2 linked regions of the Saccharomyces cerevisiae S288C genome follow. Changing the gene in region 1 together with any one later gene gives a genetic interaction. Each region holds a gene or a part of one and is shown on either strand. Other genes may lie near its edges.

The links. Genes that interact genetically often act in the same process or in processes that back each other up.
Region 2: mutations in HNT3 (region 1) and SSP120 impair growth when combined (synthetic growth defect), as found in Saccharomyces cerevisiae (one large-scale study listed by BioGRID).

The regions. Positions count from the first base shown.
Region 1 is NC_001147.6:809,751-815,058, forward strand, and holds HNT3 (DNA 5'-adenosine monophosphate hydrolase), read left to right. Parts: upstream 1-1,920; coding exon 1,921-2,574; downstream 2,575-5,308. Other genes in the region: TRE2 (putative zinc metalloprotease), read right to left, coding at 1-933; CDC31 (centrin), read left to right, coding at 1,258-1,743; proteasome regulatory particle base subunit RPT4, read right to left, coding at 2,645-3,958; GCD1 (translation initiation factor eIF2B subunit gamma), read left to right, coding at 4,234-5,308. UniProt on the Saccharomyces cerevisiae protein: DNA-binding protein involved in single-strand DNA break repair, double-strand DNA break repair and base excision repair.
Region 2 is NC_001144.5:638,738-642,671, forward strand, and holds SSP120 (nucleobindin SSP120), read left to right. Parts: upstream 1-1,579; coding exon 1,580-2,284; downstream 2,285-3,934. Other genes in the region: YEF3 (translation elongation factor EF-3), read left to right, coding at 1-1,177; SYM1 (ethanol metabolism protein), read left to right, coding at 2,727-3,320; CQD2 (Cqd2p), read left to right, coding at 3,890-3,934.

The sequences.
Region 1 (5,308 bases):
TCCGAATTTCTCAGCAATTAGTACTTGCTGACTCACTAATTTATCATATTGCAGTAAAAGCACATAGTCCTTCCCATCTTCTATCGTTTTCGAATCTTTTAAATGTTGTAAATCGTATGTTGTACCTTTGCCTCCATAAATCAAGCTCACTTTGGATAATTTCCCGTTAGAACTCAACGGATTGAAATTTTCTTTAGAAAGTTCTAGATCATGCTTTTCATTCTTGTTATCATAATATGAAATTGATACATTGCCTGGATAATTAGAATAAACTGAGTATCCCATTTCTTTAACCAATTTCAACCCATTGTTGTCAAAAGATTCCTGAATGTATCGATAAATAGCTGCATCACCCTTCGTTCCGGATCCATGAGGCATGCTACTAATATATTCCAAATCTCTCTCAAACTTTGCCAAATCCACGGATTTTTTGGCATATTCAAAAAGTATATCGTGTTGAGAAAACATCCCTTTAGATCCTGATGCCTTTTCGTTGAATAAGTAGCCACTTGACAAGACATAATATGCAATAAATGACATGAAAATGATGTAAAAGAACCTTCGAAGTATAAAGGGATTTCCGATTTTACTTAAGTAATAGTCAGCTTTGTCTGGAACGAATTTTGATATTTGTAAGAGTGGATGAATGATGTTTTCCATTAAGGGTTCCAAAATTTTTTCCTGAAACCCAATTGAAACCCTCTGTAGATGTGTTCTTTTGTGAAGATCATCGTGAGGGTCCTCTATATCAAATTCATAAGAAGGTGGTTCAGGTGGAGGCGTTATATTAGTTTCTATACTGTTGTCGTTAGAACTAGGAGGAGAATCATCAAAACGCTGGCTCATCAACAGATTATGGGACGACGACGCAGTAGGTATAGCATTTTCATGTTCAAAGTTTGTAGTTGACACTGGTTGATAACTGCTCCTCATTAAAATTACTTGATCTCAATACCCGGGGGTATTATCTTGGTTTGCAAATTAGTTACAGATTTCAAATAACCCAAAGCTTGATGTATTTCTCTAGTATTGAGAGGCGTTTAGGAAAAGAACAACTTTAATGATGCAGGAAGTACTTGCTTAACTAGTTCTTGCCTGATGCCGTAATTTTATCTACTAAATTTCCAAGAGTTTTGGAGGCTTAACTATTGCGAAATAGAGAGAAAAAAAGAAGAATCCTAATTAGTAAGTATGGAAGAGATTTATTAAACGAGAAAGGAAGTGAACCAAAGAAGAAACGGAAATAAATCATACAGTATGAGTAAGAACAGGTCATCGCTACAGTCTGGTCCACTTAATAGCGAGTTATTGGAGGAGCAAAAGCAAGAAATATATGAGGCGTTTTCATTGTTCGATATGAACAATGATGGGTTCCTCGATTACCACGAGTTGAAAGTAGCAATGAAGGCCCTGGGATTTGAGCTACCCAAGAGAGAAATACTTGACTTAATAGATGAATATGATAGTGAGGGGCGGCATTTGATGAAGTATGATGATTTTTATATTGTAATGGGGGAAAAAATATTGAAGAGAGATCCGTTAGATGAAATAAAAAGGGCATTCCAATTATTTGATGACGACCATACTGGGAAAATAAGTATTAAAAACTTGAGGCGTGTAGCTAAAGAATTAGGAGAAACTTTGACGGATGAAGAGCTGAGAGCGATGATTGAAGAGTTTGATTTGGATGGTGATGGCGAGATTAATGAAAACGAATTTATAGCTATTTGCACCGATAGTTAATTATGACTATATATTTAATCTATAAAAATGATTTGTAACTATATTAGTATACTCCCGTGGGTCTCTCGTTTTCTGTTTTAACTTACATCTTGCCCAAGGATGCACTTAAAAGTGAAAAAGCCAATCTAATCCTGCAGGGCAACAATAAGAGAAGACAATAAAACAAAACACTGAAAAATGTCATGGAGGTATGCGTTAAAAAACTACGTTACCAGCCCAGAAACGGTAAACGATGATACAGTCACATACTTTGATGATAAAGTGTCCATAATTAGAGACTCGTTTCCTAAATCAGAGTGCCATTTATTGATTCTACCACGAACTATGCAGCTGAGTAGAAGTCATCCTACTAAAGTGATTGATGCTAAGTTTAAGAATGAGTTTGAATCATACGTTAATTCTGCGATTGACCACATCTTTAGGCATTTTCAAGAAAAGTTCCGAATAAAGAAGAGTGATGATGACAAAGACCCCTGCTGGGATGACATATTAAAAGACAAAAACAAGTTTGTAAGAAATTTTGTACAAGTTGGGATACACAGCGTGCCTTCGATGGCCAACTTACATATACACGTCATATCCAAAGATTTCCATTCGGTAAGATTGAAGAACAAAAAACATTATAATTCATTTAATACTGGATTCTTCATTAGTTGGGACGATTTACCATTGAACGGAAAAAATTTGGGCACTGACAAGGAAATTGAAACTACGTACCTGAAAGAACACGATTTACTTTGCTGCTATTGTCAGCGAAATTTTAGTAATAAATTTAGCTTATTGAAAAAGCATTTAGAACTAGAGTTCAATAGCCATTTCGAGCTTAAATAAGGCAAGCTTTCTCGCATTTCTTTTTGTTACTGATATACACATACCTATACATACACATGTCTTTTTAACATCATAATTTTTGGTATTCTATAGTGCCTTCCAATTTCTTAACTTCAGCTACTTTTCTTACGGCTTTCATTAAATCATCAGGGTTGATGTGATCACGGTCATCTCTTATGGCGAAAAAACCTGCTTCAGTTGCACAGTTACGAATATCAGCACCATTGAAACCATCACTCATTTTTACAGCAGCCTCGAAGTCAAATTCCCCTGTTTTTTTGACTTTTGCAGTATGAATTTTGAAAATTTCTAATCTGCCGGCCTCATTTGGCAATGGGATTTCAACTTTCCTGTCTAGTCTACCGGGCCTCAACAAAGCAGGATCTAAAGTATCTGGTCTATTCGTAGCCATGATGATTTTAGTCTGTCCAAGATTATCAAAACCATCCATCTGGGTCAACAACTCCATCAACGTACGTTGAATTTCACGGTCTGCTGAAGTACCTTCACTGAATCTTCTACCACCAATAGCATCCACTTCATCCATAAAAATGATGCAAGGTTCGTGTTCCTTTGCATATGCAAACATTTCTCTAATAATACGAGCAGACTCACCAATGTATTTATCCACAATACCAGACGCTGGAGAGAAAATGAAGTTGGCTCCAATCGTAGCAGCAACTGCCTTCGCTAGTAAAGTTTTACCAGTACCAGGGGGACCATATAGTAGCACACCCTTTGGAGGTTTGATACCGACCCTCTGGAAAATTTCTGGGTTCTTCAATGGTAATTCTATAACCTCCCTTAATTCTCTGATTTGCTCAGTCAAACCACCAATACCATCAAAAGTGATTTCACCTTGTTCAAAACTGGTCATATTATACACCAGTGGATCTGTCTCTCTGGGCAAAATTCTCATTATAGTCAAAGTGGTGATATCTAAGGTGACTCTCACCCCTTTCTTTAATTTAGAGCGATCTACCGAATTCCTAACTCCGACAATATAACGTGGGCCCGAAGAGGCCTTCACTATATATTTCTCTTCAGATAATTCCTTCATGACTTCGCCAATCAATTGTCCAATACTTTGCAAAGCTTTTATGTCGTTTTCAGTCTTGTCATATAACTTCTCTAGATCTCGTATATTTTGACGGCGCTGCTTCAATTGATCATCATACCTTCTGTGTTCTAGCAGCTTTCTCTTGAATTGATTCAAGGCCTTGTTATGGGCCTCCTGTTCAGGATCCACTCTAGAAGGCTCCTCTTCATGATGTTCTTCCGTTTCCTGTGGTTGTTCTGGTTGTTGTTCGTGTGACTGTTGGGTGTGATTGTCGCCGGACGTTTCCCCCAATCCTGCTAATAAAGGGTCCTGTTCTTCACTCATTCTTAGTTATTAATATCTTTGCTTCGTCTGTTATCTTTGGAACCGGTGCGAGGTACTAGATTTAATTTACTTCACTATGGTATTTCAAGCTTCCTTTCCCTTCGGTGGCAAATTCCACTATTTGAAAGGTCACCCGCCTATCGCAAAATTTTTCACTTCTCATCACTATATTGAAATATAACAATCAAGCACTTTACGATGCAACAGAAAATGCTGAACGCTGTGCTGACCAAAAGTTCCCACCGTTGATAGCTCCCCCCCCTATTGTCGTAGTCATGTCAATTCAGGCTTTTGTCTTTTGCGGTAAAGGTTCCAATTTGGCTCCCTTCACCCAGCCAGATTTTCCATTCCAAACGCAGAACAAAGACAGTACAGCTGCCACGAGCGGTGACAAACTTAATGAGTTGGTCAATAGCGCCCTCGATTCAACTGTCATAAATGAGTTCATGCAACATTCAACGCGCTTGCCCAAGGCTCTTTTGCCCATCGGTAATAGACCTATGATTGAATACGTCTTGGATTGGTGTGATCAGGCAGATTTCAAAGAAATCAGTGTGGTCGCACCCGTTGACGAAATCGAATTAATTGAAAGTGGACTGACTTCGTTTTTGTCCCTAAGAAAGCAACAATTTGAACTAATATACAAGGCTTTGTCAAATTCCAACCACAGTCATCACTTGCAAGATCCTAAGAAAATTAATTTCATCCCTTCGAAGGCAAATTCTACAGGTGAGTCCTTGCAAAAAGAGCTTTTGCCTAGAATCAATGGCGATTTTGTAATCTTGCCCTGTGATTTTGTCACAGATATACCTCCACAAGTCTTGGTCGATCAATTTAGGAATAGGGATGATAATAACCTAGCAATGACTATCTACTATAAGAACTCTTTAGATAGTAGTATCGATAAAAAGCAACAGCAAAAGCAAAAACAACAGCAATTTTTCACTGTTTATTCAGAAAACGAAGACTCAGAGAGGCAGCCAATACTTTTGGACGTTTATTCTCAAAGGGACGTCACAAAGACAAAATATCTACAGATCAGATCTCATTTATTATGGAACTATCCAAATTTAACAGTATCCACTAAGTTACTGAACTCATTCATCTACTTTTGTTCCTTTGAACTTTGCCAGTTGTTAAAATTAGGACCTCAATCAATGTCAAGACAAGCTTCATTCAAAGATCCATTTACTGGAAACCAACAACAGCAAAACCCTCCTACTACTGATGATGATGAAGATCGCAATCATGATGATGACGATGATTACAAACCTTCGGCTACATCTATCCAGCCTACCTACTTCAAAAAAAAGAATGATCTCATCTTGGACCCAATAAACTGTAATAAAT
Region 2 (3,934 bases), on another chromosome or scaffold:
AGGTTACTTGGAAGGTGTTAAGACTAAGCAAAAGGCTATTGTCAAGGTTACCAACATGGAATTCCAATATCCAGGTACCTCTAAGCCACAAATCACTGACATTAACTTCCAATGTTCTTTGTCTTCCAGAATTGCTGTCATTGGTCCAAATGGTGCTGGTAAGTCTACTTTGATTAACGTCTTGACTGGTGAACTATTACCAACCTCTGGTGAAGTCTACACCCACGAAAATTGTCGTATCGCTTACATTAAGCAACACGCTTTTGCTCATATCGAATCTCATTTGGACAAGACTCCATCTGAATATATCCAATGGAGATTCCAAACCGGTGAAGATAGAGAAACCATGGACAGAGCTAACAGACAAATCAACGAAAACGATGCTGAAGCTATGAACAAGATCTTCAAGATTGAAGGTACCCCTAGAAGAATTGCCGGTATCCACTCCAGAAGAAAGTTCAAGAACACTTACGAATATGAATGTTCTTTCTTATTGGGTGAAAACATTGGTATGAAATCTGAAAGATGGGTTCCAATGATGTCCGTCGACAACGCTTGGATTCCAAGAGGTGAATTGGTTGAATCTCACTCTAAGATGGTTGCTGAAGTTGATATGAAGGAAGCTTTGGCTTCTGGTCAATTCCGTCCATTAACCAGAAAAGAAATTGAAGAACATTGTTCCATGTTGGGTTTGGACCCAGAAATTGTTTCTCACTCCAGAATTAGAGGTTTGTCTGGTGGTCAAAAGGTTAAGTTGGTCTTAGCTGCCGGTACATGGCAAAGACCTCACTTGATTGTCTTAGATGAACCTACCAACTATCTGGACAGAGATTCTTTGGGTGCTTTGTCTAAGGCTTTGAAGGAATTTGAAGGTGGTGTTATTATCATTACTCACTCTGCTGAATTCACAAAGAACTTGACTGAAGAAGTCTGGGCCGTCAAGGACGGTAGAATGACTCCATCTGGTCACAACTGGGTTAGTGGTCAAGGTGCTGGTCCAAGAATCGAAAAGAAGGAAGACGAAGAAGATAAATTCGATGCTATGGGTAACAAGATTGCCGGTGGTAAGAAGAAGAAGAAGTTGTCTTCTGCGGAATTGAGAAAGAAGAAGAAGGAAAGAATGAAGAAGAAGAAGGAATTGGGTGATGCTTACGTTTCTTCTGACGAAGAATTCTAATCTTTTTGATCACTGCTTTCACAGTTTTCTTTAAGATTTTTATTGATCAATAATTTATGTATATTTTAATTTCTATGTTTTTGTAATATTGTTTATTTTGGTAAAATATAGACGCAACTTCCTTATTATAAAGAAAGGCATTATTTAAAAGAAAAAGCGTTCCATTAGTCAGACATCTTTTTTTTTCATACATTCTTAAGCTCAGGCAAATTGAGCATTGCCTCATACCCTTTTCGGTAAGAGGGTAACGAAAATATTTTTTTGGAAGAATAAAAATAGGTGACGGATCATAGACTAGGAAGCTTTAAAACATGATTGAGCGTAATATTATATTCCTTCTAGAAAAGATAAAAGAGCCAAGACCTAAAATTTTTTCATCCCTGTTCTATTAAAATTGTGGAAATGAGGTTTTTGAGGGGATTTGTATTTTCTTTGGCTTTCACTCTATATAAAGTAACTGCCACGGCAGAAATAGGATCTGAAATTAATGTGGAAAATGAGGCACCACCTGATGGTTTATCCTGGGAGGAGTGGCATATGGACCATGAGCATCAGCTAAAAGATTACACTCCAGAGACTTTCTTCGCGTTACATGATATCAAGAAGAAAGGATTTTTAGATGAAAACGATATTCTATCTCTCTACGGGTTGAACCGTGAAGAAATTGTGGGGGCTGGTGATGGTATGGGACAACACGATGAATCTGAGAAAATTGACAATGAAATGGCTAAGCGTGTTGTTAGCCTTATTATGAGGTTATTGGATGTTGATGATAATACCAAAATCACCAAGGAGGAATATCTACAATTTGCTAAGAGAGGAAACAAGTTCCCTGACCTTGGCGTTGGTGTAGGTCACCACTCCGATTTTGAGCTAGAATATGAAATTCATCACTGGAATAAGTTTCATAAGGACAAAGATCCAGACGTTAAAGTCGTTCACAAAGAAGACATAGAACATGAATTGCTTCATCATGAACATGAAATTGAACATGAAGAAGAAATTCAAAGAGGCGCTTCTAGAGCTACTGTAATAACTGATGACGAACTAGAGTCTAGAATAGAGCTGAAAAATATTCCCGAGAAATTCAAAAATGGAATTTTTTAATGGACTTGGTCAAGATGAATAGTTGAGACTGAGAAAATATTCAAGACACTATGTATGTAGTCAATTAGCATGTAGTAAGTAATCAAAGCACTTAAAATATATTTTTACCATCGCATCGTTGTGATGCCTCTCCTTTGTGATTAACTATCTACTTTAAACGTTCTATTTTCTATGTTCTAATTACGTATGTATTGGTCTTTTCTCTCCGATGGTAACAAGAAGCGTTTCGGGAAACAGTGGCACCTCCTTGTCCCTTAAATGTCGAACTTTAACAGTATAAGTACAAAGTGAAAAAAAAAAAAAAATGGAAATATCTATGATAGTGATATGATAGAAGAGCTATTTGAATGCTATGTTGTCATATTTAGCCTTACAAAAGGGAAAAGGCAAACACAGTCTTTTGTTATTACTATAGGAAAGATAGAATTGATATTAAAACAGTATGAAGTTATTGCATTTATATGAAGCGAGCTTGAAGAGAAGGCCCAAAACTACGAATGCGATAATGACAGGTGCGCTATTTGGAATTGGTGATGTTTCTGCTCAATTGTTGTTTCCAACATCCAAAGTAAACAAGGGTTATGATTATAAAAGGACAGCTAGGGCTGTCATCTATGGTTCTTTAATTTTCTCCTTTATAGGTGACAAGTGGTACAAGATCTTGAACAACAAGATTTATATGCGTAACAGACCTCAGTACCACTGGTCTAATATGGTTTTACGGGTAGCTGTCGATCAATTGGCGTTTGCGCCGCTAGGTTTGCCATTTTATTTCACCTGTATGTCCATCATGGAAGGTAGATCATTTGACGTAGCTAAGTTGAAAATAAAAGAGCAATGGTGGCCTACACTTTTGACTAATTGGGCAGTTTGGCCACTTTTCCAAGCGATTAACTTTTCTGTTGTTCCTTTACAACATAGGTTACTAGCTGTTAATGTCGTTGCAATATTTTGGAACACTTACTTATCTTATAAAAACTCAAAGGTTATGGAGAAAGACAAGGTACCTGTTCATTATCCACCCGTGGTCGAATAACTGGATAAGAAATCCTGATTTTGAAAATATTTGGAATTCAACTAGCATATTTATCAGACCTTGTTCCTTGGGGTACTGGAACAGCATATACCTAATAGACTTTCGGCAGAGAGCAGACCAACTTCATAAATATTTGAGTCACCAAAGTTGGCTAGCAATCTGCTTTTCCTTTACAGATGTGCTTGGTCAGGAACAATTTATTTAATTACATTCGTACTTCTTTTATAGAGGAAATAGTAGCTAACATTTCACTATTGCGGTCATGCCTGTTGTTCTTCAGCTACCGTTTATGCAAAGGTGTTTAATTAGGTGTGAGACTTAAGTGGGCCTTTTAGTACCACTGTGGGTTCTGGACCTTTATATAATATTTCATTTTTTCAAAGGTTTTTTCATATGCCGTTAAAAGAGGTCAAAACATAGACCCGAGGAACATATCTTGTAAATCGCTGCGTTATGTATGCATATTGTACTCCTACCTTCGTAACTGGAAAGAATCAGTCTGAAAGTTTATTGAGCCTGAAACGGAGCAAGATTATAGTTGAATGTTTCTTATTCGGTGTTGATAGTAGATGATGACCAAAGCTTTTTTTAACAAACTACCGTTTGAGGTATTC